4 linked regions of the Anolis sagrei genome follow. The protein of the gene in region 2 interacts with the protein of the main gene of each other region in a pairwise test. Links are inferred from orthologs where the notes say so. Each region holds a gene or a part of one and is shown on either strand. Other genes may lie near its edges.

Region 1 (7,631 bases), on a different chromosome or scaffold from region 2:
CCAATTTATCACAAAGACAACTTATTCAATGCTACTAATATTACTAGTCCATCCAGTGAGGAAATGTTACACAACTTTCATTTTTGTGTCTCTTACAGAAATGCATGAAAACTTTGAAAAATCTTTCCAACTCTTCCAAAAGCCATGTTATAGTAAGAGGGAGAAATAATGATGTTTTCCTAAAATTGAAAATGGGTTGAAACAGGTACAGGAAATGCCAAAACAGAAGATCCAGAATCTATGTTATGTAATCTTTTTGTTGTGTAATTGTTGCTAGTATTTGGATTATTGTGGGCAGGTTGTAAATGATCAGTAGCTGAGTTGGGGGTGGGAGGGCTGCGAGGCATTACAGAAGAGGTCGAAGAGAGCAATAGCAATTTCATTTGCCAGGTTGCAGCCCCTGCCGCTGATTGGCCACTGAAAAAGAAAGGAGAAGCCTAATGGAAACACATGGCACCGAAAGACACCTTGGCAAAAGTTTGTGCATGGCTAATAAAAGAGACTGCCACTTTCACCCTTTACAAATCAAACATACTTCTTTGAAACTGGCTCCATTTGCTCACCTTTTTCTACACAAATATCCAATTCTAGCAAGAAGCCCCTGCCTGCCTTAGTAGCCCAATGGAGTAAACAAAGACAGATAATACTCAACAAGAAATAATATGCACCAAGACTGTAAAAAATAATAATACTCCTAGCAGAAAGTACTAGGTGCCATTTGGCTTCTGCTTCTAGCAAAAAAATATTTTGGTACTTCCTGTGTATCACATCAGCATTTCAAAATATGTATGGCTTGTTCCATCTACATTTCAGAAATAATGTCAACCTAGGACTTTCTTTGTTCAGAAGATAGCAACAAAGTATGTCCCAAAGAAAAAGAAAACCAAGAAGGCAAGATGGTTGCCTGCTGAGACACTGGAAGTAGCCCAAGAAAAAAAGGAAAACAAAAGGAATAGTGATAGAGGGAGATATGCCTAATTAAATACACAATTTCAGAAGTTTGCCAGAAGAGATAAGGAACTATTTTTAAACAAGAAATGTATGGAAGTGGAAGAAGACAATAGTATAGGAAGGACAAGAAATCTCTTCCAGAAAATTAGAAATATCGGAGGTAAATTTCGGGTAAAAATGGGTATGATCAAAAACAAAGATGGCAAGGCCTAACAGAAGCTGAAGAGATCAAGAGAAGGTGGCAAGATTGTACAGAAGATCTGTACAGGAGGGATAATAATATCGAGGATAGCTTTGACGGTGTGGTGAGTGAATTAGAACCGGACATCCTGAGGAGTGAGATTAAATGGGCCGTAAGAAGCATTACTAATAACAAGGCAGCAGGAAACAAATTCAGCCGATCTATCTGTTAATAAGGATAATGTAATTAATAATGATGGAAAAGATGGCTCTCCTTTTCTTGAACTACCATATTTTTATTCCAGCAAGTTGGAATTCTGCAACTCAGACTATACCCCCAAAGCTTGCTTTTGCCCTTCTGTTCTGAGCCCTTTGGCTCTGTAAACTTTATTTATTTATTTATTATTTTATTTTATTATTTGAACTTATGTGCCGCCACTCCCCTGGGGCTTGGAGCGGCTTACAAAAATGGCTAAAATCTAACAAATTTAAAAGCAATTTAAAACAATTTAAAAACAGCAATATCAAGCATTAAAAGCCTGTCAAAACAGGTATGTCTTACATGCCCTGCGGAAAGCTGGTAAGTCCCGCAAGGCACGGACTTCAGGTGGCAGAGTATTCCAGAGTGATGGTGCCACTGCTGTGAAGGCTCTGCATCTGGTTGCTGTTAGACGCAAGGTCTTGACACTGGGGACTTCCAATAGATCTTGGTCCTCAGAACGGAGGGATCTCTGGGGTTGGTAGGGGGTGAGGCGGTCCCTCAGGTACATCGGCCCCAGACCATGCAAGGCCTTACAGGTGAGTACCATCACTTTGAAAGTGATCCGGTGCTCAATTGGTAACCAATGCAGCTGTAGTAAGATTGGTGTTATGTGGCATCTCATCAGAATTCCCGCAAGAAGCCAAGCAGCTGCATTTTGTACCAACTTGAGCTTCCGGATCACCGACAGAGGAAGGCCAATGTAGAGGGCGTTACAGTAGTCCAGTCTTGAGATGACTGTGGCCTGGATCACCATAGCTAGGTCATCCCTGGACAGGTACTAAAGACTAGCTCAAAAGTATCTAAAATAAATAAATAAATAAATAAATAAATGCTGACATTACTTTAAAGAACTGGTAATACAGAAAATAACTAAATAAACATATTGAAAATTTGGCATCTTAGTTATTCAGAGTTAGGTAACCCAAATGTTTAGAGATATACTCCCAGAAATAGGTAACCCAAGTGGTCTATCCAGGAGTTTTATGGAACTTAAAATGTTGGATTGTTTAGCCTGTCTTACATTAAATAACAGTTAGAATACTAGACCTCTGCACAAGAAACTTTAAGAATTATTACCAAAGAAGACAAGGATAATTGCTGATCGAGGTATCTAGATACTTTCTTCCAAATGACCTAGGGATAATCTCTTCCCACATCTTTCACCACCATATATTTAAATAATGTTACTCTACCTGATACACAGCTCTGGAGATGCACCATGGTTTAAGCATTAGCCGTACGACCTGCAGATTTCTGAACCGGCAAGTCCCCAGGACCCGCGTAGTCAGGTTCCACACTAGGCTATCCCAACTGTAAATCAAGTCTTCAACCCTTAAAAGTACAGCGGCCATGCCAAGCAGCAAGTCGAAAGGTCTAGCACTGGTATTCCTGTGTGGTTTGCTGATTTTTAAAAAGTCTTTAAAAAACGTCAAGGTTAAAATGTCAAAGTAATTTTCCATGAAATAAAAAATGGAGAAAGCTGAAGCCAAAGCAACCCATTTTGGTGGGAGTTGCTCTTCAGAGGGAATTATTTTCCCAGGTTCTCCACTGCCAGATCCAACAGGGACATTCAGAAATATACTCTGCAAAGAGATTTGGAAATTGCCCCTTCTTTCTGAATAAGTTGGGGTGTCCTGGGCAGGTTCCTTCTCTTTGTTCAGCCCCAAGCAAAGGCACTAAGAAACAAACTTAAACTAAGAATCATCACTTTAGCCTCCAAAGTACCGGGATTTCTTCCAGAGAGGATGGAAAACAAACGCCTTTTCTGTCTCTCTCTTTCTCTCTCTCTGCTTCTCTGCCAACATTCTCAAGACATTCCATTTTCCCGCTTAACTCTTGAAGGTGCAAAGTGCAACCACAGGAGACTAGTTTTGTAGCACATTGTAGAATATGTGCATCATGCTATTATTATTACATGTATCATGATAGTTATTGTAGTTTTGTGGTGGAACTGTCATCTAAGTTAGGCTTTGCCATTTCTCCTAGTCTTGCCATTATTAAGAGCACATTAGACTTACTGAGAAAGAAAATAGGAATAGCTTTCACTTGGTAAGATTTCATAGCAGGTGAACTAGTGTGTTCCTAAAAAAGTGACTATTTCCACAAACAAATGTAAAAAAGGTTCTACATAGTTCTATCAAAAAGGCCAGTTGATTGGGAGAAAACCCAAGGGTGCAGGTTCTTGATGATGTATCCATAATAGAAACAAAGTGCTACAGCATATCTATATAAATAATAATGTAATGTTCGCTTGTGGGATTAACATAATTCAAAAACCACTTGACGAATTGACACCAAATTTGGACACAATCCACCTATCAGGCCAATGAATGATGATAACTCACAATAACACTGAAAAACACAGAGGAAGGGACTTAAAAAGCCAAAAAAGCAAAAAGATGCTACAGTGCATGTGCAAAAATAACTCCCGGGCCAAAAAAACCCCAACAAAAAACCAAACACACACAATAGCATATCCACACATTCTTTCGCACTACAGCTCCCAGTATCCCCTAGACCAGGCCGTTCAGGAGAGGAGGATGGTCCAAATGTACTGCTTCCTAGATGCAAGCTTTCTTCTCCTTGGATTTCTTTGAGAGCATCCCAATCCCTGTATATTTCCAATTTCCTATTCCTGGACTGCAGCTCCCAGCAATCATCCCGATAGATAGATTAGATAGAGATAGGTAGGTAGGAGGACTGCTGGGAGTTGCAGTCCAAGATAGGTAGAGAAGGGAAGAAGGAGAGAAGGAAAGGAAAAAAGGGAAAGAAGGAAGGAAAGAAAGGAGAGAAAGAGATAGGGAAGGGTGGCCACAGCAACGCGTGGCGGGTACAGCTAGTTTCTTAATAGATAATGGGAAGTTGTACTGGGTGGGTTGTCTCTGCCATGATTAACTTTTGTTATATGATAGAAAATTGTTTGCTTTGACATTACTGTTTTTTTATTGCTAACAATGTAGAGAGGTACTTGTGGAAGTCATGTGCAAACATAATTTGCCTGGTTTGAAGTATTAAGCACTTCCACTTAGGATGAATAGCAGACCCCTTTTGCTGTTCTGATTTGAGCAACAAACTGTCTTGGGTAAGCAGATGGACAGAATAACCCTTACCATGTACTTCTACCCACAAACAAGCCCTATTGAATTTAATTGGACTTATTAAAATGCAAATACACTAAGATATCCCAATCATGGTTTGAAGGCTTTCTTGGGATGTGTGAAAAGGAGCTGGAAGGACAGAGAATATAAAAAGGACCCACTTATTACTATGTAACAGTTTACAGAATAATATTGTTCAAGGACCATCTGAAAACTGAAAGGAATCCGAAGGGTAAGGGGAAATAGTGTCACGTCAGACCTCACTACCTCTGAGGATGCTTGCCATAGATGCAGGCGAAACATCAGGAGAAATGCCTCTAGAACATGGCCCTATAGCCCAAAAAAAAAAAAAAACCCACAAGAACCTAGTGATTCCAGCCATGAAAGCCTTCGACAATACGGTGTCACGTCACTTATTCAGTTGTGTCACAAAGCCTTATTCTAGTTCAGTACAAACAGTTTAGTCAAACTATTATTCTCAGGTAAGTGGCTGCTTTTTAGGAGCAGGTTGAGGCCCATCTTTTGTTGGGTTTTTCTAAATGATTAATCCTTTTTAATGAGGAGTTCAAGAAAGCCAACTTCTCAAGCTCTCCAGGGAAAGCTACAGGTGGTTATAGGACCTGTGTCTTCTTCTAACAAGTATATGTGTGTTCTTGGATCTTCTTCTTTTCATATTTTTTATTGGATGGCTCTTCTACTGTGTTTTTGAAATTTCTCCTTTTTCATGTGAAACTTGGGGGAGAGCAACACATGGACATGAACATGTGGACAGGAAGAATGGTGTTACAGAAAGAAATCCTGAGCTTTTGTACTATAGCTCCCCAGACAATTAAACACAATTATTAGATTTGTGTATCTCTCTATTTTCCCAACTTCTGAGCAATAGTTTTCTAGTTAGAGAGCAGCATGGCTCCCACTCACATTACTTTCAAGTAGCTCTTTATGGCTAGAGATTTGGGAAAGATACTTGAAATGTTCAGTTTTGCTGATATAGATATGCTAGACTCGTCTTGTTTTTTATTCCTATAGCTCTAAACCACAGGTTCCTTTTGAAAGATCTAAACTTTCATTCAAATCTTTCTGCCTTTGATCTTCTTTAAAATAGCTATGGTAGTGTGTGATTGAATTTCACTGAAAAATTGTGTATGAATATTCATTCCACATGAGCAGATAATGGCATTTTCATGCTTTATCCTTGCTGCCAGGAAAACAAACCCCCCAGAAATCTCCTAGAAGTCATATCTGATATTCATTTCTGTCAGAAGGATATGAGAAATTCCTTGATGGATCATATCTACCTGGTCCAGTGGGTTTCACTTTTGGTTATCCAGATGTTGAATGCTACTCCCTGAATCCCTTACTAAACCTTTGGGAGGTGAAGTCCAACATTTGAGATTTCAAGGTTGGGAGCCGCTGTTTGCATCTATCCCCTATATAGTCAAAAGATTTTCAGAATGTTAAGCAGACAGGTCATGCTGTGATGCTAACAGGCATCCTCTGACATTTAGCTCTTCTGTTTGGCACTAAAGAGATATACTGCCATTGAACATTGAATATCCCTTGAGATAATGCCATGTGAGAACTTCAGATGGTCCAACTATCATCTGCCTAACCCAAGGTTTAATGGAGCTCTTTGTCTAATTTTGAAAGGCCCTGGAAACAATCAGTTCAGAATTCTGGAATTTTCTGCTGCTGACAGATCAAAGAGTAGAGAGGAAGAGGGAGAAGTGGGTAGTGGCAGAAATAGAGGGGGCAAGGACAGAAGCTATGTCATTTCCCCTTTAAATTCACATTATGGAAGCATCCTTCAGTAACTATCAGCTACCACTCCCATAGTCTACAACTAGTAGCCTGAAAAGTAACTTTTTTTGCTTTAAACACATTTACTTCTAAAGAATCCAGACCTTAATATTTTTTCTGTCCACATTCTTGTCCAGAAAAGGCCACATTTTCTGACAGATATGCACTTGTGCTGTCTTTTATCCCATGGGAGCCAACATGTGTAAGCAGCAGCTTCCTTGCTTGCCCACCGTCTCAGATCCAGCAGAAGGGATACTTTCAGAGTACAGAATAAAATAAATTTCACTGCAGTCATTAGAGGGCACTCTATATAGATATGTATTGGATTGCACTGCACGAAGGGATAAGAGATAAGAGGCTGTCACCATCTGCAACCATATTAAAGTGGGCCATGGTGCAGTAGAATAGACATATATTGGATTATAATACAGAGAGCTTCCAAAAAACAACAACTGGGAGCCATTGAAAAGCAAGCACTTTCCCATTTCCTCTCTTCTCTGCTGTTTTCTCCCCTTCCCATTGTGACCCATTGCTGTTGAGATCCTAGTGCCACTCTCCATTTAAGAAAACCGATACAAGAAATGTGCAACCGAGAGACAGAAACAGGAATTCACGAGAAATGATGTCAATACATGAAACAGGGTAACTTCTCCTTCTCTCCAAACTGATGACGTATTCACAACTAAAACAAGTATATGGTCTATTTAGGTTCATCCTATGATTTGTGATTTATTATAGTTTGTGTTTTCATTCTGGAAATATTGAAAGCCACTGGGCTGGAGACAAAGTAACATACCTGGGATTAGAATTGTTATTAACAAGAGATACTACCAGTCTAAGCATTCTCTGTACATAAAAGTACTTTATGACCCTGGGAAAGTATGAGTAGTCACTGACCCTTCTAATTAATCTCTCCATAACAAGATAAGAAAGAACCATTCTTAGAAATATTCCTCCCTACAGACTGTCAACAAGTTGTTATCCAGTGTGACTCTGGGAAACTGCGTATTGTTCGAAATATCAGTGGAAGTGGTGCGTGACTAGGAATGAAATCTTGACATCATGATGGATAGAGGCTGGCAGCTGTGAAACAGATGAATTCCATGTTAGATTATAATTAGGAATGGTCATGGTAGTAAAATTGTCAATGTTATGATATTTTATGCAAATATATTGTGTGATTACAGATGTGAAGTTTGGGAAGAAATAATTTACATGGTGGTCTTGGATGTCAAGAGGGAGGAATACAATCAGTTGTCATAGCTACCATTAAACATCTCCTGAGACCCTTGGCTGCTCTCTGAATGTCCATGCAGCGGCCTTGGGTTTCAGGGAAGGTG
Region 2 (7,465 bases):
AGAGAAGGACAATGATATGTCACATGTAGGCAAACCAGATAACCATCACATTAACACTGACAAAGAAACAGCAAGAAATAGTGTTTACCCACAAGTATAAAGAAATTACATATATTAGAAACCAACACTTTCGAATTACTTTATTTTCCAGATCACCAGACTGGGCCACAGCAACGTATGGCAGGGTGCTACCAGTATGCAGACAATACCCAGCTACTCTTGCGTCTCGAACCTGGGACAACCGCGATTCCTGAGAACTTTAGGCTGTGTTTGGAAGCAGTGATGAGTTGGCTGCGAGCGAGCAGACTAAAAGTGAATCCTGCAAAAACTGAGATACTCTGGCCCGGCCAGCCGCCAGAATTAATCCAGTCTCTGCCTGGTTTCGATGGGGAAGCTCTGGTTCCGTCTGCCACTGTTTAAAGCCTTGGGGTTGTGTTGGACTCATCGCTGACGATGGAGGCCCAGATCACTGCCATAAGTAAGCAGGCCTTTTTTCATCTTCGCCAGGCAAGGAAATTGGCATCCTACCTTTTGGTAGAAGCATTGGCAACGGTAATCCACGCAACAGTCACCACGAGGTTGGACTATTGCAACGCCTTATATGCCAGCCTTCCAAAGTCAACAACCCGGAAGATTTGGATGGTCCAAAATGCAGCGGCCAGGCTGCTAGCGGGATCATCTATAAGTTCCCATATTACACCGATTCTGCAACAACTGCATTGGCTACCAATAGAACATCGGATCTCTTACAAGATACCGATCCTGACATTTAGAGCTCAAAATGGCCAAGGACCTTTATATCTTAGGGACCGCCTCAATCCTTTTCTCCATCAGTGGTCACCTCGATCCACCCAGAAAAATCTCCTATACACAGAGGCGGCCCTAGGTAATTTTCAACCGTAAGCAAACAGTACTTTGCCCCCCCCCCCAACCCATCACTGATATATATTGTCTGTTCGTCATGAGAGTTCTGTGTGCCATATTTGGTTCAATTCCATCATTGGTGGAGTTCAGAATGCTCTTTGATTGTAGGTGAACTATACCTCCCAGTAACTACAACTCGCATATGTCATGGTCTATTTTCCCCCAAGAGCGCCTCAAGAGCGCCCCTGGGCAAAATCAACTATACTGCAAATGCTTACTTTGCGTAATGGGTTGAGCCACCCCTGCCTATACATACCGGGCCCTAGGGAGGTACACCTGGAAGCTACAAGGCATTGAGCTTTTTCAACCTATACTCCAATTCTGTGGAACTCATTGTCTCCATACATTAGAGCAATGTCAGAGTTGCGACCTTTTGTAAAGGCACTCAAGACTTGGCTGTTTGGTTGTGCCAACGCCAGAGATACAACTTAATGGTGTAGCATTAGAAAATGTTGACCATTTCCGCTACCTTGGCAGCCACCTCTCCACCAAAGTCAACATCGACACCGAAATACAACACCGCCTGAGCTCTGCGAGTGCAGCATTTTCCCAAATGAAGCAGAGTGTTTGAGGACTGGGACATCCGTAGGGATACCAAGGTGCTTGTCTATAAAGCTATTGTCCTCTCAGCCCAGCTCTATGCCTGCGAAACGTGGACTGTCTACAGACGTCACATGCAACTCCTGGAACGATTCCTTCAGCGCTGCCTCCGGAAAATCCTGCAAATATCTTGGGAAGACAAGCGGACAAACGTCAGCATGCTGGAAGAAGCAAAGACCACCAGCATTGAAGCGATGGTCCTCTGCCATCAACTCCGCTGGACCGGCCACGTTGTCCGGATGCCTGACCACCGTCTCCCAAAGCAGTTGCTCTACTCTGAACTTAAGAACAGAAAACGGAATGTTGGTGGTCAGGAAAAGAGATTTAAAGATGGCCTCAAAGCCAACCTTAAAATCTCTGGCATAGACACTGAGAACTGGGAAGCCCTGGCCCTTGACCGCTCCAGCTGGAGGTCAGCTGTGACCAGCAGTGCTGCAGAATTCGAGGAAGCACAAGTGGAGGGTGAAAGAGAGAAATGTGCCAGGAGGAAGGCACGTCAAGCCAACCATGACCGGGACCACCTTCCACCTGGAAACCAATGCCTTCACTGTGGGAGAAAATGCAGGTCAAGAATAGGGCTCCACAGCCACCTACAAACCCATAAAAATAGTCATCAAGGAAGACCATCTTACTCGTCCAATGAGGGATCGCCTAAGTAAGTAAGTAAGTGTGCATTTCAGTAATCAGATCTAATTTGCCAAATAGTCACTGTTGAATGTTGTTATGTTGAATGTTTTTATATTGTGTAACTGCTATTTTAGATTGTAAGTTGCTCGGAGCACCTTGGTGGAGAGCGACTAATTAAGAAATAAAGTGAAGTGAAGTATCAAATAATAATAGAACCCGACAGCAAATAAACAACCATTGCTAAAATACATAGTTAGACAATCTGTAATTAAAACGGGTCAATAATTAAAAGGGGTCACAGAAACCTGTCTTGGACAAAAAGGGGTCATGAGTGGAGAAGGTTTATGAGGCCCTGGCCCAATCATGAACAGTGATTGTGAACAACAAACTCTTATCTATTTCTACACTAGTGACGACCCAAGAGCGTTTTCATAACCATCTCCACTGCTCCACTGCATGGAGACTGTGGGCACTCCTCTTCCTGGCTTGCAGTCCCAACGCCTGCATTCTGTGAGGGCCAAGGCCTCCCTCTGGTCGCCTAGCAACGGGGCACGCGCGCAGCCCCCCTCCCCTCGCGCCCCTTCCCTCCCTCCCTCCCTCCCTCCCTCCCTCCTCGGGCCTGACCTCCCCGATCACGTCGTGCAGGTAGCGGAAGGGGGGCTTGCTGAGGAGGCGCTCCGTGAGGGGCGGCTTCCGTATCACTCGACCCAGCAGCTCCTGCGTCCGCCGCACCATGGAGCCCTGCATGGCGGCGCCCCGACTGCCCGGACCGGACCAGGCCCCTCGCAAACTCCCGGCGCGCCCCGCGCCCGCCCGCCTGCCTTCCTTCCTCCGCCGCCGTTGCTACCCAACTCCGCCAGCCTAGCAACCGGGCGGCGCGCGGTCCGCCCCGCCTCCTCGCCCTCCCGATTGGACGCAGGGGGAGGGAAATGGTGACGTCATGGACGGCTCCGCCCTCTCGCATTCTCTAGGCCTCTGTCAACAGGGCCATCGCTTTTGGAGAGTCTCCCTTGACCGGCGCCCACGGGGACTGCCAGGTGCAGCAGGGTACACGGAGTTTTATTTTTCTGGTTATTTAATGTTTCTTTTGCTTAAGTGATATTTGTCTTTACTGTTTTAATGTAGAACAAATCCTATGTAAAATCATACCACGTATTTTTGACATTAATATTGAAATCTGAAATATAGACTTCTAGTTGCTGGAGGGTTGCCATTACAAACAGGCCTTCGATTGTGGTTTCGAAGGCTTTCATGGCTGCCTTGCTGTGAGTTTTCCCAGAAGCATTCTCTCCTGACGTTTCACCTACATCTATGGCAGGCATCCTCAGAGGTTGTGGGTCTGTTGGAAACTAGGAAAGCGAAGTTTATTTATCTGTGCAATAATGTCCAGGGTGGGAGAAAGAACACTTGTCTGTTGCAGGCAAGTGTGAATGAGTTGTAGATTTTTTCGGGCTATATGGCCATGTTCTTCTAGAGGCATTCTCTCCTGACTTTTCGCCTGCATCTAGGGCAAGCAGCTTCAGAGGTAGTGAGGTCTGTGGGAACTAGGAAAAGGGTGGGGCAAAGGACTCTTGTCTGTTGGAACTAGGTGTGAATGTTCCAACTGATCACCTTGATTAGCATTTGATGGCCTGGCAGTGCCTGGGGCAATCTTTTGTTGAGAGGTGATTAGATGTTCCAGATTGTTGAGAGGTGATTAGATGTCCCAGTTGCACCCATACCTTGGGAAGTCTGATCTGGCCATGGTGGTCTACGCTCTTGTTACATCCCGCATAGATTACTGCAACGCACTCTACGTGGGGTTGCCTTTGAAGACTGTTCGGAAACTTCAATTAGTCCAGCGGGCGGCAGCCAGATTACTCACCAGAGTGTCATACAGGGAGCATACCGCCCCTCTGTTATGTCAGCTCCACTGGCTGCCAATCCAGTTCCGAGCACAATTCAAAGTGCTGGTCTAGACCTACAAAACCCTATATGGTTCCGGCCCAGCGTATCTGTCTGAACATATCTCCCTCTACGTCCCGCCTCGGAGTTTAAGATCTTCTGGGGAGGCCCTGCTCTCGGCCCCACCTCTATCACAAGTGAGGTTGGTGGGGACGAGGAGCAGGACCTTCTCGGTGGTGGCCCCTCACCTGTGGAATTCACTCCCCAGGGAAATTAGGTCATCAACATCCCTCCTCTCTTTTAGAAGGAAATTAAAAACATGGATATGGGACCAGGCTTTTGGGTAATCTGGCAGATAAACAAAGGACAATCGACGACTAGAATTGATAGGATTTGACAATGTGGAATGAATCTACGGACTCTGAGCTGGCGAACGTTGAGCATTAGATTGGTTTTATTGATTTTGATGTTATAATTGTTTGATTGTTTTGTTTTAAATTGCTGTTTATATATGTTTTATCTTATTGTTTGTGTTGGCATCGAATTGTGCCTTTTGTAAGCCGCCCTGAGTCCCCCCTCGGGGGTTGAGAAGGGCGGGGTAGGAATGCACGAAATAAATCAATAAATAGTTTCCCTTGTGTTGTTTTGCTGTTGTAATTCTAGAGTTTTTTTTAATACTGGTAGCCAGATTTTGTTCATTTTCATGGTTTTCCTCCTTTCTGTTGAAATTGTCCACATGCTTGTGGATTTCAGTGGCTTCTCTGAGTAGTCTAACTCTAACAACCACCATATCAGACTACTCGGAGAAGTCATGAAAGCCTTCGACAATGCAATATTGAAATCTGAAATATATACAGGAAGTCTTTACTTCTGGTTGCTTGAGGGTTGCCATTGCAAATAGGCCTTCAATTATGGTGTCGAAGGCTTTCATGTTTGGAATCACTGCCTTGCTGTGAGTTTTCCCGTCTGTATGGCCATGTTCCAGAAGCATTCTCTCCCAACGTTTCGTCTACATCTATGGCAGGCATCCTCAGAGGTTGTGGGGTCTGTTGGAAACTAGGAAAGTGATGTTTATTTATCTGTGAAATAATGTCCAGGGTGGGAGAAAGAACACTTGCCTGTTGGAGGCAAGTGTGAATGTTGCAAAGGGTCATTAAATGCTAATCAAGGTGGCTAATTGCAACATTCACACCTGCCTCAAAAAGACAAGAGTTCTTTCTCCCACCCTGGACACTAAACCACAGATATATAAACCCCCTTCCCTAGTTTCGAATAGATTCCTCAATAATAATAATAATCATCATCATCATAATAAAAACTTTATATATACCCCGCTCCATCCTCCCCAGGGGGACTCAGTTCGGCTTACACGAGGCCACGCCCATCAGTACAGTACACACAATATAACACAAAAACATAACAAAACCAAAAAATAAAATACATAAAATGCAAAACCAATATAATAAGCGACACAACAATATAAAATCAAACATTAAAACACAACAGATTTCACTGGGCAGGGCCAAATTCAAGGATAACATTTTAAAACACTGGGACATAGGACAATGTAAAACATCGGGAGGAGGATCCGGAAATGATGAAGGATTTAATTGCACTAACTTTTTTAATGCTATCATGATAAAACTTGCTCTAATTGTATCACAGTTTCCACTGTTAGCCTGCCAAGTTTAAGAACATTACACTCATTCACTAATTTTGGGGGAAATTTTGAACTTTTTACAAACAATTTTTCTTTTATAAAAACTACAAGAGCTATCTCCTGGAATTTCATATACAATGCACAAGATAACCAAGGCATTGATCCTCAGAAATTTCAGAAAGATTAACACATCTACAGATTTTGGGGGATTTTTAAAAGTTTAGACAAAAACAAATGATCCCCCCAAGAAGTGACAGCAGCAATCCCTTTGAATGTCTGCCTTTATGACACACAACCTGAGAACTTCAACTTAGCACAGCTTTATACTATTACTTACTTTAGTCCTCTTTTCAGATTCAATAATTTTATTCTCTCTCCTCTTCAACATCTACGTTAGACCCCTTGCTAGTTTGGCTCGGAGTTTCGGCCTGGACTGCTACCAATATGCAGACGATATCCAACTCCTTCTGCGCCTGGAGCCTGGAGCAACGTCAATTCCAGACAATTTCACCCTATGTCTGGAAGCTCTGTCGAACTGGCTGCGTGCTAGCAGACTGAAGGTGAACCCAGCAAAGACTGAGATTCTCTGGCATGGCCGCCCGGCAGGTCTGACTCCTCCGTTGCCCACCTTCGATGGTGCCGCCCTATCTCCTTCGCCTACCGTTAAGAGCTTGGGTGTCGTTTTGGATTCGCAGCTGACAATGGAAGCACAGGTTGCTGCTGCCAGCAAACAGGCCTTTTTCCATCTACGACAAGCGAGGCAATTGGCACCCTACCTATCTGACGAGGCTCTGGCATCCATGCCGGTCACGTCTAGGCTGGACTATTCAACGCCCTGTATGTTGGCCTTCCGATGTCTACGACCCGAAAGCTTCGTATCGTTCAGAACACGGCAGCCAGGTTACTCACAAGAAAGCCCATGAAATGCCATATAACACCAGTGCTGCAACACTTACATTGGCTTCCAACTGAGTACCGTGGCCTGTATAAGATGTTAGTTCTGACCTTTAAAATCTTTTATGGCCAGGTTCCATCGTACCTTAGGGACCACCTCTCCTTCTCCCATCATTGGAGGTCGCAACGACCAGCCCAACGTGACTTACTCTATATACCGGGTCCTAGAGAAGTGCATTTGGAAAGGACCAGGCGCAGGGCTTTTTCTATTTCTGCCCCGGACTTATGGAATTCCTTGCCGCCCTACATGAGAGCCATGCGTGACTTAGGGCCTTTTACTCTCGCACTTAAGACCTGGCTTTTTACTAGAGCATTCGATCTCTGTTAATTTTAATTTTTGTATGTATGTATTTTATCTTTTACAATTTAACTGTAAATCACTTGGAGCATTCTCGGATGGAGGGCGATTAATAAGTAATTAAATGATGATGATGATTTATTTATTTATTTATCAATTTTATATACCGCCACCCCCTGAAGGATCGGAGTGGTTTACAATATACATATACAATACATTACATTTAAAATCAAAGAAACATTTCAATGGCTAGTGCCATTGGGTCCTTCAGATGCTAAGCACTGTAGTTCGGGAAATGTAGTTTGCGCTGTACCGCAAGCACCTGGGTTCGAGTGTGTCCTCCTGAGGGTGGGGAACCGTGACAGTGTGGGGTTTCTGCTGGTGTACCGCCCACCCCGCGACCCAGTAGTTTCCCTGTCTGAGCTAGCGGAAGTGGTCTCTAATTCAGCCCTGGTTTCCCAGCGCTTGGTGGTGCTGGGAGATTTTAACATTCATGCTGAGACCTCTTTGTCTGGCAC
Region 3 (7,338 bases), on a different chromosome or scaffold from region 2:
TAACTGTCTTTCTAGGCTCCATACCGTTGGTCAGAATCCCAATGGGATCTGCAGTGACTTTCTAGCTTCCATAGCTTTGGTAAGAATCCCAAAGCTAACTTAGACCATCTCCTGAGGTTCTGGAGAGGTTGAGGAGACTACCAAGAACCAAGCTGAGTTCCATCTAGTTGGTGATCCTTCCATGACTGTCTTTCTAGGCTCCATACCTTTGGTCAGAATCCCAATGGGATCTGCAATGACTTTCTAGTTTCCATAGCTGTGATAAGAATCCCAAAGCTATCTTAGACCATCTTCTGAGGTTCTGGAGATGTTGGGGAGACCATCAAGAAGTCATCTGACTTCCATCATCTGACTTCCATGACTGTTTTTCTAGGCTCCATACCTTTGGTCAGAATCCCAAAGCTATCTTAGACCATCTCCTGAGGTTCTGGAGATGTTGGGGAGACCATCAAGAACCTCTCTGAGTTGCATCTAGTTGATAATCCTTCCTTCCATGACTATCTTTCTAGGTTCCATATCTTTGGTCAGAATCCCAATGGGATTTGCCATCACCTCCCCAAAGGTGAGGAACTTGAGATACCTATCACATCGAGGTTCCTCGGGTCCAGGAGGATGGACAATGAACCCAACTCTCTTCCATACCTTGGTCCCAACGTGTACCCTCCTCTGAGGTCCAGGAGATGTTAAGAAGAGGAACCTGCCTTTCTTCCATACCTTGGTCCCAACCTGTACTCTCCCCTGTGGTCCTGGAGATGTTGGAGACGACCATCCTGATTTGCATCAGGTGGACGCTTGCCTCCACAAGATCACAATCCCCAAGGAATCAGCCCCCAACACCCCAAAAGGTTAAGGCACCAAGATCCTTCATCTCTTGAGGCTCCTCAGCCAAGAATTCTGGACTTGTTTGACCACAACCGGCAATGGGTACCCGTGAGGTCCATGCCCACTTCTCTTCCATAACTTGGTCCCAACCTCTACCCTCTCCTGAGGTCCTGGGGATGTTGGGAAGACCATCCTGATTTGCATCTGTTGGATGCTCACCTCTGCAAGATCATGATCCCCAAGGAATCCACCACAAACCCCAAAAAAGGTTAAGGCACCGAGCTTATTCATCCCTTGAGGTTCTTCAGCTAAGATTTCTGGACTTGCTTGACCACAACTAGCAATGGGTGCCCGTGAGGTCCATGCCCACCTCTCTTCCATAACTTGGTCCCAGCCTTACCCTCCCCTGAGGTCCTGGAGATGTTGGGAAGACCATCATGGTTTCCATCTGTTGGAATCCACCACAAGGTCCCTAAGCTGAGAATTCTGGACTTGCTTGACCACAACCAGCAATGGGTGCCCGTGAGGTCCATACCCACTTCCCTTCCATAACGTGGTCCCAACTTCTACCCTCCCCTGAGGTTCTGGAGATTTTGGGAAGACCAACAAGAACCTCCCTGTTGGACGCTCACCTCTGCAAGATCACAATCCCCACGGAATCCACCACAAACCCCACAAAAGGTTAAGGCACCAAGCTCATTCATTCCTTGAGGTCCCTAAGCCGAGAAATCTGGACTTGCTTGGCCACAACCAGCAATGGGTGCCCGTGAGGTCCATACCCACTTCTCTTCCATAACTTGGTCCCAACCTCTACCCTTCCCTGAGATCCTGGAGATTTTGGGAAGACCACCAAGAACCTCCCCTGTTGGATGCTCACCTCTGCAAGATCACAATCCCCAAGGAATCCACCACAAGCCCCACAAAAGGTTAAGGCACCTCGCTCATTCATCACTTGAGGTCCCTCAGCCGAGAATTCTGGACTCGTTTGACCACAAATGATCCACCACAAACCCCACAAAAGGTTAAGGCACCGAGCTCATTCATCCTTTGAGGTCCCTCAGCTGAGAATTCTGGACTTGCTTGACCACAACCCGCAATGGGTGCCTGTGAGGTCCATACCCACTTCTCTTCCATAACTTGGTTCCAACCTCTACCCTCCCTTGAGGTCCTGGAGATTTTGGGAAGACCACCAAGAACCTCCCTGTTGGTTAAGGCTACCGAGCTCATTCATCCCTTGAGATCCCTAAGCCGAGAATTCTGGACTTGCTTGACCACCAAGAACCTCCCTGTTGGACGCTCACCTCTGCAAGATCACAATCCCCAAGGAATCCACCAAAATCCACCACAAACCCCACAAAAGGTTAAGTCACCCTTGAGGTCCCTCAGCTGAGAATTCTGGACTCAGTTGGCCACAAACGATGGGTGCCTGTGAGGTCCACACCCGTGAGGCCCCTCCCACGCAGCCCCTCCCACGCCCGACACTCACTCCGGTACTCCGATCCAAGGTGCCCCCGGACGCGGCGGTGAGCTTGGTGGTGTTGAGCCCCACCAAGGAGGGCAAGGTCTGGGACATCCAGTTGGTGATCATGGCCATGGTGCTGAGGACCACGCCGATCTTCAGCAAGGGCACCGACATGGTGGCGCTGGGGGGCCACCGTTGCCGCTGCCGCCGCCTCCCTTTCCGACCCCCTTCCTCCGCCGCCTCCGCCGCTCAGGCACTCCGGCCGCTACCTCCTCCTGATCCTCCTCCGTCTTCATTCTGAGCCGGGTTCCCTGAGCGCGGCAGCCGGGATGCCCTGCGCCTCGGCCCCGGCATCCTGGGCGGAGGCGGCACCGGAGAGGAGGCCATCCCGCCCCATCCCGGCAAGGCGGAAAGCAGAGAGGGAGCTCCCGGTACTGAAAGGGAGAGCTCCAAGGCTGCGCGCAGGAGAGATCCTGGTGCTGAATGGACAGCTCCAAGGCTGCGCGGAGTGGTGCTGAAATGGACAGCTCCTGCCAATCCTTTGCTGAGTGGAGAGCAGCTCTCCACAACAAGTCAATCAGAGGAGGGTTCTGCAATGCTTTGGCTGGCTCTCCCCCTCCCCAGCCTTCTTCTTCCTCCTTCTTCCTCTTCTCCCTTTCCCCCACCAGCTGCTTCTCTCTTGCCTTCCTTGCAAAGGCTTGGCCGGGCGAGGACTGAGCCAAAGGGGGCGGGAGGGGAGGGAGGGGCCCCCAGAAAGCGCATTCTGACGTCAGAGTGGGCGGGGCCACTCTGGGATACAGAAAAGGAGGGGCCCCCCAACACTCCTCCTCTCCCTTCTTTCCAGCCTCCACTCTTGGCGTTTGGCTTCCCTCTGGTGGAGGGAAAGGGAGGAAGGTGGAAGGGAAAGAAAAAGGAGGAGAGAAGGGGAGGGAAGAAGAGGGAGGGCAGGATGGATCTCCTGAAGTTCCCATAAGGAAGGATTTGTGTGTGTGTGTGTGGAAGAGAATGTGTGCAAGAAAGAGAAAGGCAAAGAGTGGGGAAGGAATGGAAGAGAAGAAGAGAAGGGAAGGTGGAAGAGGGAAAAAGGAGGGAGAGAAGGAGAGGGAAGAAGAGGGAGGGCAGGATTGATCTCCTGAAGTTCCCATAAGGAAGGATTTGTGTGTGTGTGTGTGTGTGTGTGTGTGTGTGTGTGTGCAAACCTCCAGAGAGAGAAGGGCAAAGAGTGGGGAGGGAATGGAAGAGAAGAACTGAAGGGAAGGGACAGAGGAAGGAAGGAGAAAGAAAGGAGCAAGGGAAGGGAAAAGAAGAAAGGGGAGGAAGGAAGGAAGGAAGGAAGGAAGGAAGGAAGGAAGGAAGGACGGAAGGAAGGGAAGGGGAAAGGGAAGGAAAGAAAGGGGGAAGAGAAAAGAAAGAGGAGGAAGGAAAGAAGGAGGGAAGGAACAGAAAGAAGGAAGGAAGGAGAAAATGAAAGGAATGAAAGGGACAGGAAGAAAGGAGGAGAAGGAAAGGAGCAAGGGAAGGGAAAAGAAGAAAGGGGAGGAAGGAAAGAAGAAAGGAAGGAAGGAGAAAATGAAAGGAATGAAAGGGACAAGAAGAAAGGAGGAGAAGGAAAGGAGTAAGGGAAGGGAAGAGATAAGAAGAAAAGGGAAGGAAGGAAGGGAAGGAAAGAAAGAGAGGAGGGAAAACAAGAAAGGGGAAGAAAAGGATGGAAGGAAGAAAGGAAGGAGAAAGTGAAGGGAATGAAAGGACAGAGGAAGGAAGGAGGAGAAGGAAAGGAGCAAGGGAAGGGAAAAGAAGAAAGGAAGGAAGGAAGGAAGGAAGGAAGGAAGGGGAAAGGGAAGGAGAGAAAGGGGGAGGGAAAAGAAGAAAGGGGAAGGAAGGAAGGAAGAAGAAGAAAAGAAGGAGAAAGTGAAGGGAATGAAAGGGACAGAGGAAGGAAGGAGGAGAAGGAAAGGAGCAAGGGAAGGGAAAAGAAGAAAGGAAGGAAGGAAGGAAGGAAGGAAGGAAGGAAGGAAGGGGAAAGGGAAGGAGAGAAAGGGGGAGGGAAAAGAAGAAAGGGGAAGGAAGGAAGGAAGAAGAAGAAAAGAAGGAGAAAGTGAAGGGAATGAAAGGACAGAGGAAGGAAGGAGGAGAAGGAAAGGAGTGGGTGTGATTCCTTATGTAAAGCTTCAGGGAAAAGAAAGAAGGAGGGAGGGAGGGAAGGAAAAGAAAGGGGAGGAAAAAGAAGAAAGGAGAAGGAAGGAAGAAAGGAAGGAGGCAGGGGAGAAGGAGAGGAAAAAGGGAAGGGGAGGAGGAGAAGAAAAGAAAGAGAGGAGGGAAAATAAGAAAGGGGAGGAAGGAAGGAAGAAAGGAAGGAAGGAGAGAAAGAGGGGAGAAAAGGGAAGAGGAGGAGGAGAAAGGAAGGAAGGAAGGAAGGAAGAAAGAAAGAAAGAAAGAAAGAAAGGAGAAAGTGAAGGGAATGAAAGGACAGAGGAAGGAAGGAAGAGAAGGAAAAGACAAAGGGAAGGGAAAAGAGGGATTCCTTTTGTACAGCTCCAGGGAAGGGAAGGAAAAAGAAGGAAGGAAGTTACGAGGGAAGGGCGGGAAGGAAAAGAAAGAAGGGAGGGAAAAGAAGAAAGGAGAAGAAAGGAAGGAAGGAAGGAAGGAAGGAAGGAAGGAAGGAAGGAAGGAAGGAGAAAGAGAAGGAGAAAAGAAAGGAAGAGGAAGGAGAAACCGGAGGGAAACAAGAAAGGGAAGGAGAAAGGGAAGGAAAAGAAAGAGGGGATAGAAAAGAAGAAAGGAAGGAAGGAGGGAGGGAGGGAGGGAAAGAGAGGAAAAAAGAAAGGAGGGGTGGCAAACTGCATTCATTTGGCAATACAGATGCAGATGAAGGAAAGAAGGAAGGAAGGAAGGAAGGGAAGAAAAAAAGGGGAAGGAAAGGATAGAAAATGGAAAGATCCTTTTTGTAAAGCTCCAGAGAGGGATGAATGGAAGGAAAGGATGGAAGGTGGGAACTAAAGAGGGAAAGAGGGAAAAGAAGGATCCATTCTGCAATGCTCCAAAGAGAGAAAGAAGACAGAGAGGAAGGAAAGAGAAGAAGAGAGCAAAGGAAGGAGAGGACAAAGTGAAGGGAAGAATGGAGGAAGCAAAAGAAAGAGAAGGATGGAGGGAGGGAAGATGGGGACATTCCTTTTGCAAAGAGAAAGAAGAGAGAAAGAAGAAACTGGACCAATATGGTGAACTCTTGGTGTCTTGTCCAAACTACAACTCCCATGATTCCACAGCACTGAGCCATGGTATCGAACTGCAAAGACTCTGGCACAAGCCAGTCAAGGTGGTCCCAGTGGTGATTGGCACACAGGGTACAGTGCCTAAAGACCCTGGCCTGCACTTAAAAACAATTAGTGCTGACAAAATCACCACCTGTCAGCTACAAAAGGCCACCCGACTTGGATTTTTCACCGATACATCACACTGTCCTTGTGATGTGGAAAATGTCCGATGTGTGATCGAATGCAAAAGCCAATAATAATAATAATAATAATAATAATAATAATAATAATAATAATATCAATAATAATAATTTAATCAGAAAACAGGGCTAAAATAAATACATAAATAAATAATGCAAACCCTTGCTCTGCTTTCCCAAAGCCAAATTTGCAAAAATGCAAACCACAACAAGCAACACCGTGTTGTGTATCGAATAATAATAATAATAATATAATAATAATAATAATAGCAGCAAACAGAGCTGAAAAATGCAATATAAATAAATACATACATAAATAATGCAAACCCTTGCTCTGTTTTCCCCAAAACCAACTTTGCAAAAATGCAAACCACAACAAGCAATTAATAATAATAATAATAATAATAATAATAATAATAATAGGACTCCAAGCAGCAAACAGGGCTGAAAGAATGCAATATAAATAAATACATAAATAAATAAATAAGGGAAACCCTTGCTCTGTTTTCCCAAAATTAACTTTGCAAAAAATGCAAACAACAACAAGCAACACCACGTTGTGTATCTAATAATAATAATAATAATAATAATAATAGGAATTTAAGCAAACAGGGCTGAAAGAATGCAATATAAATAAATACATAAATAAATAATGCAAACCCTTGCTCTGTTTTCCCAAAACCAACTTTGCAAAAATGCAAACAACAAGCAACACCACGTTGTGTATTGAATAATAATAATAATAATAATAATAATAATAATAGGACTTTAAACAGCAAACAGGGCTGAAAGAATGCAATATAAATAAATACATAAATAAATAATGCAAACTCTTGCTCTGTTTTCCCAAAGCCAAAGCAAACCACAACAAGCAACATCCATGTTGTGTATCGAATAATAATAATAGTAATAATAATAATAATAATAATAATAATAATAATAATAGGACTTTAAGGAGCAAACAGGGCTGAAAGAAGGCAATATAAATAAATGCATAAATAAATAATGCAAACCCTTGCTCTGTTTTCCCAAAGCTAAATTTGCAAAAAAAGCAAACCGCAACAAGCAATGCTGTGTTGTGTATCGAATAATAATAATAATAATAATAATAATAATAATAGTAATAATAATAATAGTAATAATAATAATAATAGGACTTTAAGCAGCAAACGGGGCAGAAAGAATGCAATATAAATAAATACATAAATAAATAATGCAAACCCTTGCTCTGTTTTCCCAAAATTAACTTTGCAAAAATGCAAATCACAACAAGCAACACTGTGTTGTATAAATAATAATAATAATAATAATAATAATAATAATAATAATAATAGGACTTTAAGCAGCAAACGGGGCAGAAAGAATGCAATATAAATAAATAAATACATAAATAATGCAAACCCTTGCTCTGTTTTCCCAAAACCAACTTTGCAAAAAAAGCAAACCGCAACAAGCAATGCTGTGTTGTGTATCGAATAATAATAATAATAATAATAATAATAATAGTAATAATAATAATAGTAATAATAATAATAATAGGACTTTAAGCAGCAAACGGGGCAGAAAGAATGCAATATAAATAAATACATAAATAAATAATGCA
Region 4 (7,816 bases), on a different chromosome or scaffold from region 2:
TCACATCAGTTGGCCGGCCATACAAAGCAGATAACCGACTCATTTCACAACCACACACTCAGCAGCGTGTCCCTCTCTGCAATAAAACAGTTGCATGAGGAGATGTCAGCACCATTGTTGGGCATAGCACCAGCAAGTTGGCACTGGGAGCATAACCATGTTCATCCCCTTGGGGGAAAAACGCATTACCACCCTTCCTTCTACTCTGACAGATGGTGGATTTAGCAACGGGAAAATCCAAACAATCAGCAGGTTGAAAGCCCAGAACGGTACCAAGTGGCAAGCACAAGGACCACAGGGACAAGCTTCAGGGGCGTTGCCATTTCCGAGTAAACAACCTCCAGGCGCCTTAGCTAGCCACCTGCACCATTTTAGCCCTGATCTTTATACTGCACAGATGGAAGTCAGTATGGAATATTTCACTGGATTATGGATAAGAGCAGGGGGGGTTTAAAAAATTACAGGTGGTGTGTAAGCAGGGGACCTTTGGGCATTTTGGGAATGTTAACCTCAGGAGGCGCAAGCAGACTAGCTGCTAGAAGGATGGAGTCTTAAGGTTTGGAAAGGCAAGATAACATATGGGCCGTGTGATGGATGGACAGTCAGAAAGGAAAGTGGCTTGTAGATTCCCTCCCAGCTCCCAAGGGCTCTTTTCTTCCCAGTGGCCAAACCAACAGCCCAGCTAGCCACACCCAGCTGACCAAGCCTGCAGAGCTAAGGAGGGAGGCAGTAATGGCACAAAAATGGAAGCAGATACTCCAAGCATCCTTCCCTGCTACCGGTTTTCAGAGAGTGATAGGTGGAGCATGTTTATACAAATGGATTTTCAAGTCGAAAAGACAATTTCTTAAAGGTGGAGGGGGAATGTTGAGCTGAGGGGTTTCATAAGGAAACAAGCAGCTTGTATCAAGATCACAGAACTGAATGGACGCCTTGGGAGAGGATCGATGTGGAGCGTAAGAGCAATCCATAGGGAGCAGGCCTCCCAATTTTCCCCAACACACACACACAGAAAGGAAGAGTGGGAAGAGAGGGATGGAGGTGGACAGAAAGAGAGAGGTGGAGAGAGAGGCCCCTTCCACACAGCTGTATAAAATTCACATTGAGCTGGATTATATGGCAGTGTGGACTCATAACCCAGTTCAAAGCAGATATTGTGGATTATCTGCCTTGATATTCTGAGTTATTATGGATGTGTGGAAGGGCCCAGAGAGGGAGAAAGAGGGTAAGAGAGAAAGGTAGAAAAGGGAAGAGAGAGAAGGAGAGAGAGAAAGGTGGGAAAGAGAGAAAAGGAGAGAGGGGGAAAGGGGGAGAGGGGGAGAGAAAAAGAGAAAGGGGAGAGGGAGAAAAGGGAAGAGAAAGATGGAGAGAGAAAAAGAGGGAAAGAGAAAAGGAGAAAGGGAGAATGCGGGGAGAGAGAAAGAGAAAAGGAGAAAGGGAGAAAAAGGAAGGAAGAGATGGGGAGAAAAAGGTGGGAAAGAGAGAAAGGAGAAAGGGAGAAGAGGGGGGTTGAAAGAGAGAAAGGGAGAGAGGGAGAAAAGGGAAAAGAGAGATTGAGAGAGAAAAAGAGGGAGAGAAAAGGAGAGAGGGAGAAAGGGGGATAGAGAAAGAGAAAGGGAGGAAGAAAAGGGGGAAAAGACAGGAATGGAGAGAGGGAGAAAGAGAGGAAGATGGAGGGAGAGAAAGAGAAAAGAAATATGGAAAGAGAAAAGGGGGAAGGAAGGGGGAGATGGAGAGAGTGAAAGAGAGAAAGGAAGAGAGGGAGGAAAGAAGGAGAGGGAGAGAAAGGGAGAAAAGGAGAAAAGGGGAAAGAGGAAGGAAGGTAAATGGGAAACTGAGAGAGAAAAGGGGGGAGAGGTGAGAGAGAAAGAGGAAAATAGAGAAAGGGAGAAAAAGGGAGAGAGCAAAGGTGGGAAAGAGAGAAAGGGAGAGGGAGAAAAGGGAAGAGGCAGAGAGAGAGGGGGGTGGAGAGAGAAAAAGAAGGAGAAAGAAGTGGGTACACAGGCCCCTTCCACACAGCTGTATAAAATCCACATTGAACTGGATGATATGACAGTGTGGGCTCAGATAGTTCAAAGCAGATACTGTGGATTATCGGCCTTGATATTCTGGGTTAATATGGCTATGCAGAAGGGCCACACAGAGAAAGGTGGGGAGAGAGATGGATTGGGAAAAGGGGGAGAGAGAAAAGGATGGGGGAGAAAGGTGGGGAGAAGTGGAGAGAAAGAGAGGGGGGAAAAAGGAGGGAGGGATGGAGAGAAAGGGTTATATATGCAGAAAGCGACAGAGACAGAGGGCCCTTCCACACAGCCCTATATCCCAGAATATCATGGCAGAAAATCCCACAATATCTGATAATGTGGGATTTCCTGATTTGATATTCTGGGATATAAGGCTGTGTGGAAGGGCACCCAGTTCAAAGCAGATATGGTGGGATTTGCTGCCTTGATATTGTGGGATAATACAGGGCTGTGTGGAAGGGCCCAGAGACCCCCACCGGCCCACCTCTTCCTCGCCCTTCACTCACCCCAATGATGACGGTGTCATCGCCTTGGAAAACCGGGATGAATTTATCCCCCCGGATGATCTCCGACTGATTCAAGGGCCTGAAGCGACAGAGCACTTTGATGCTGCATTCATTGACTTCCGTCGTCATGCTGGCGGGTGGAGGCTCTCCTTTGCGAGGGTGGAAGAAAGAGGGGCGGCGAGGGCTTGGAGTGGGGTGCGATTCCCGGGGAAAGGCGCAGGAGGGCAGAGAGAGGAGGGCGAGCGATGGGCGAGCCTGGTTCCCTGCCTGTCACCCCCCAGCAGCAGCAGAGCGGCGAGGCTCTCTCTGGGCTGGGCTGGCGCTCCTCCTGCTGCAGGCTCTGCTCCCGGGATGCTGCTCTGCCTGAGTCCTCCTCCTCCTGGTGCTCTTGCTGCAACTGATGCTTGCGGCGCTTGGATCTCTCTCCTCCCTCCTTCCCCTCCTGCTGCAGACACCGGCAGCAGCAGCAGCAGGCAAAGGGCTGGGCTGGAGGAGAGGTCCAATGGTACCGCTTTTAAGGAGGAGCCATCTCCTCGGCCTTAAGGTGGTATGTCATTGAACATTGAGAAAACCAAAATGCTGTTCCAGCAGTCACCAGCCAACCCCTTTCCAATGCCAGAGATACAGCTTAATGGTGTAACATTAGAAAATGTTGACCATTTCCGCTACCTTGGCAGTCACCTCTCCACCAAAGTCAACATGGACACCGAAATACAACACCGCCTGAGCTCTGCGAGTGCAGCATTTTTCCAAATGAAGCAGAGAGTGTTTGAGGACCGGGACATACGTAGGGATATTATTAAACTTTATTTGTACCCCGCTAGCATCTCCCAAAGGATTCGATGCGGCTTACACAGGCCAAGGCCTCAACAACACAACATAACAGTACAATCAAGCAAATCAAACAATTAAAAACAAAATAAAGCAAAGTAAACAGTAGGCACAATACATTAAAACACAATAAAACTGGGCCGGGCCAAAAAGTGGGTACAAGAATTAAAAGTGCTGGTTTGACAGGAGGTGTATAAAGGGTTTCTAGGGCAAGTGCGATGTGCGGTGTGCAGCAATCATTGGTTCTGGTAAAGTGCTTGTGGGACTCAGTAGTGAAGATTTCCTAATCTGGGAAGGCGCATCGGAAAAGCCAGATTTTTAGGTTCTTTCTGAAGACAGCCAATGACGGGGCCTGTATAAGGTCTTTGGGGAGGGTGTTCCAGAGTTGGGGGGCCACCACGGAAAAGGCCCTGTCCCGTGTCCCCACCAAGCGCGCTTGCGACGCCAGTGGGATCACGAGCAGGGCCTCTCCAGATGACCGAAGAGAACGCGTGGGTTCGTAGATGGAAATGCGGTCACGCAGGTAGGCCGGTCCCAAACCGTTTAGGGCTTTGAAGGTAAGCAAGGTGCTTGTTTATAAAGCTATTGTCCTCCCAACCCTGTTATATGCCTGCGAAACGTGGACTGTCTACAGACGTCACATGCAACTCCTGGAACAATTCCATCAGCGCTGCCTCCGGAAAATCCTGCAAATCCCTTGGAAAGACAGGCGGACAAACGTCAGCATGTTGGAAGAAACAAAGACCACCAGCATTGAAGCAATGCTCCTCCGCCATCAACTCCACTGGACCGGCCACATTGTCCAGACACCCGACCACCGTCTCCCAAAGCAGTTGCTCCACTCCGAACTCAAGAACGGAAAATGGAATGTTGGTGGACAGGAAAAGAGATTTCAAGATAGGCTCAAGGCCAACCTTAAAAACTCTGGCATGGATACAGAGAACTGGGAAGCCCTGGCCCTTGAGTGCTCCAGCTGGAGGTCAGCTGTGACCAGTAGTGCTGCAGAATTTGAAGAGGCACGAATGGAGGGTGAAAGAGAGAAACGTGCCAAGAGGAAGGCGTGTCAAGCCAACCCCAACTGAGACCGCCTTCCACCTGGAAACCAATGCCCTCACTGAGGAAGGAGACGTAGATCAAGAATAGGGCTCCACAGCCACATAACGGACCCACAAGAATACTGATCCTGGAAGACTATCCTACTCGGCCAACGAGGGACCGCCTAAGTAAGTAAGAAAGTAAGTAAGGGAAGGCTGAGCAGAGAACTACCCCCATCCTCCCCCCCCCCATTAAAAACAACTCTAGCAGCCCCCTCACACCCTCCCCCTTGTTTGGCAATTTAACTATGTTACACCACCTTGGCTTCAGGATCAGGATGCTGCTGCATAACTTGGGCACAAGGAATCGGCATGCCATGATGTCCTTTATTAATTGGCCAAGGGCAAGCCATACGCTTTCAGCCCTGGAAAATCCAGTGATAGGTTTCCCTAACTTGGTTGTTGTTGTTTATTCGTTCAGTCGCTTCCAACTCTTCATCATTGTTGCACTCCAGGTCAGGGAAATGCCCTCTGACTTTAAAACACACCACACAATGAGTGAAGAAACAAATCTTTATATATATATATATATATATATATATATATATATATATATATACACACACACACACACACACACACACACACACACTAGCTTTCCCCTGCCATGCGTTGCTGTGGCCCACATGGGGGTTCTGTGTGGGAGGTTTGACCCAATTCTATCATTGGTGGTGTTCAGAATGCTCTTTGATTGTAGTGACCTATAAATCCCAGCAACTACAACTCCCAAATGTCAAGATTCTATTTTCCCCAAACTCCACCAGTGTTCATATTTGGGCATATTGAGTATTCGTGCCAAGTTTCGTCCAGATCCATCACTGTTTGAGTCCACAGTGATCTCTGGATGTAGGTGAATTACAACTCCAAAACCAAAGGACACTGCCCACCAAACCCTCCCAGTATTTTCTGTTGATCATGGGAGAATTGTGTGCCAAGTTTGGTTCAATTGCATCGTTGGTGGGGTTCAAAATGCTCTTTGATTTTAGGTGAACTATAAATCCCAGCAACTACAACTCCCAAAAGACAAAATCATATTTTTTGCATGAAGGACATACATTGGGTTGTTAAGTGTCTTGTGTCCAAATTTGGTGTCAATTTGTCCAGTAGGTTTTGAGTTCTGTTAATGCCACAAACGAACATTACATTTTTATTTATATAGATATATAAATTTTTATTGAAAGAATATAGTTACAAGGAAAGTGGGGGAATATTGTGTAGAAATCAGTTGGCCCCTTCCACACAGCCATATATTCCAGTTCAAAGCAGAACCTGTGGGATTTTATTTAGCTGTGTGGAAGGGGCCTAAGGTGTTGGCCTTTTCACTCCTGGTGCTATTGGCACTCACCTCTACCCATATTCGCTCCCATTTACAGACTGCCACAAACAAAACAATTGGATCATTAAAAAAAAAGAGAGAGTCAAAGTGGACATGGGTTTGCATAACATGCAAATTTGAAAATTATCACTATATATATAGTCAAAGTATGATTGGTTTGCACATTTGGCCCACAAAGGCTCCTATGTGGCTTAATAGATCTACATCAAACTTGGCACATATACCCTTTATTATTCAACTTAAAATAATTGAGGGATTCAAACTAAAAACACATCTCTTTCGGGCTCAGTACAGAAAGAAAGAAAAGGAACAAAGTATTGGCTGTTGCTAGGTGTTGTGGCCTCTGTGATGTCACTGAGGGCCCATCTACACTGCCATATAACGCAGAATATCAAGGCAGATAATCCACAATATTTGCTTTGAACTGGATTATCTGAGTCCACACTGCCATATAATCCAGTTCAACATGGATTTTATACAGCTGTGTGGAAGGGGCCTGTGGAAGGAAGGGAGTGAAACAGCTTGGATTCTATTAGGAAACATATGTATTGGGAAAGTGAGGAAGGGAGGAAGGAAAGAAAGGAAGGAAGAAAGAAAGAAAGAAAGAGGAAGGAAGGAAGAGAAAGGAAGGAAGGAAGGAAGGAAGGAAGGGAAGGAAGAAGGGGGAGGTTTTTTGAGGGAAAGCAAAAGATGAAGGAAGAAATGAGAGAAAGGAAAGTGAGAGGAAGAAGGTGTATGAAGGAAACAGGGAAAAGAAGGCAAGATAGAATATGTCCACCATTGCCAGAGCATTGCCATGAAGACATTGTGAAGTAAGTCTTCTCAGAGCTGGAGAAGGGAGAAAGCAGATGGGCAGCAAACCCTTTGACATCCAGGCAACACCCGGTATATATGCAAGCTTCAATAGAAATCTTAGCTATCTCAACACAGTGGAGAAATCTCCAATCTGGTGACCTCTGTGTTGTCCAAACGTTAACTGTGGGTAGGCAACTTTAAACTGCTAGTCCTTCCAGCTGTTCTTTCCAATGGTTCTTCATATTTAAACTGGATGTGTACAAACAGAGGATACCTTCAGAGAGGATCATCCTTTAGAAAGCTGGCCACACACCCACCTTGGTATATACATTACAATAATCCAAGATACTCCACTCTTTGTTCGGCCTCTCAGTCCTCTGAGTAATGCTCTAGTCTGGAAGATGGGCATACAGTAAACCTTTTAATCATCATTACTGCTTACTCTTCCAGGAAATAAGCAGCCATTTAGACAGATGTAGCAAAACCGAACAATCAGATTGAGCTGACATGTGAAGGAAAAACAATACCAGAAATGCAGTTATTTTTAGGGAGGATGGTAGTAGCACTAGCATCAGGCCCTAAGCGAGCCAAGAGCATAGCTGCTGCAATGATTTGCCAACTAGTTTCATTTCTTCCAGATGAGTTGAGTTGAATGAAGCTTAAAAAATTATGTCTGGGACCGGATCTACACTGCCATAATAATACATTTTCAGAATGCTAATTAATGGCATTTAACTGAATCCTATGAGTCTACACTGCCATATATGGAGCCCTCAGTGGTGTAGCAGGTTAAACCACTGAGCTGCGGAACTTGTTGACCGAAAGGTCACAGGTTTGAATCTGGGGAGCGCCGTGAGCACCCGCTGTCAGCTCCAGCTTCTGTCAAGCTAGCAGTTCGAAAACATGCAAATGTGAGTAGATCAATAGGTACCACTTCTGTGGTAAGGTAACGGCACTCCATACAGTCATGTCAGTCACATGACCTTGGAGGCGTCTACAGACAATTCCGGCTCTTCGGCTTAGAAATGGAGATGAGCACCAACCCCTAGAGTTGGACACAACTGGACTTAATGACAGGGGAAAACCTTTACCTTTATTTATTTATTCACGTTATTTATTTATTTACGTTACTTTTATCCCGCCCATATCAGCCCGAAGGCGACTTAGGGCAGCATACAAATTGGCACAATTAGATGCCACATATAAATACATACATTGGTTAAAAACAAAAAA

What was found.
Region 1: the proteins of TRAF3IP1 (region 2) and FRMD4A interact in a two-hybrid assay, tested with the Homo sapiens proteins (2 studies listed by BioGRID and IntAct). The link is inferred for Anolis sagrei from reciprocal best matches to the Homo sapiens genes TRAF3IP1 and FRMD4A.
Region 3: the proteins of TRAF3IP1 (region 2) and OLFM1 interact in a two-hybrid assay, tested with the Homo sapiens proteins (2 studies listed by BioGRID and IntAct). The link is inferred for Anolis sagrei from reciprocal best matches to the Homo sapiens genes TRAF3IP1 and OLFM1.
Region 4: the proteins of TRAF3IP1 (region 2) and KIF5A interact in a two-hybrid assay, tested with the Homo sapiens proteins (2 studies listed by IntAct). The link is inferred for Anolis sagrei from reciprocal best matches to the Homo sapiens genes TRAF3IP1 and KIF5A.

What each region holds. Positions count from the first base shown.
Region 1 is NC_090025.1:93,271,250-93,278,880, forward strand, and holds the start of FRMD4A (FERM domain-containing protein 4A), read right to left. Parts: upstream 3,019-7,631; 5' UTR 2,854-3,018; coding exon 2,587-2,853; intron 1-2,586. UniProt on the Homo sapiens protein: Scaffolding protein that regulates epithelial cell polarity by connecting ARF6 activation with the PAR3 complex. Plays a redundant role with FRMD4B in epithelial polarization. May regulate MAPT secretion by activating ARF6-signaling.
Region 2 is NC_090021.1:161,923,085-161,930,549, reverse strand, and holds the start of TRAF3IP1 (TRAF3-interacting protein 1), read right to left. Parts: upstream 3,002-7,465; 5' UTR 2,899-3,001; coding exon 2,776-2,898; intron 1,584-2,775; exon of another isoform or gene 1,508-1,583; coding exon of another isoform or gene 1,394-1,507; intron 1-1,393.
Region 3 is NC_090031.1:4,765,179-4,772,516, forward strand, and holds the start of OLFM1 (noelin), read right to left. Parts: upstream 3,013-7,338; 5' UTR 2,459-3,012; coding exon 2,309-2,458; intron 1-2,308. UniProt on the Homo sapiens protein: Contributes to the regulation of axonal growth in the embryonic and adult central nervous system by inhibiting interactions between RTN4R and LINGO1. Inhibits RTN4R-mediated axon growth cone collapse.
Region 4 is NC_090022.1:186,121,789-186,129,604, reverse strand, and holds the start of KIF5A (kinesin heavy chain), read right to left. Parts: upstream 3,004-7,816; 5' UTR 2,657-3,003; coding exon 2,528-2,656; intron 1-2,527. UniProt on the Homo sapiens protein: Microtubule-dependent motor required for slow axonal transport of neurofilament proteins (NFH, NFM and NFL). Can induce formation of neurite-like membrane protrusions in non-neuronal cells in a ZFYVE27-dependent manner.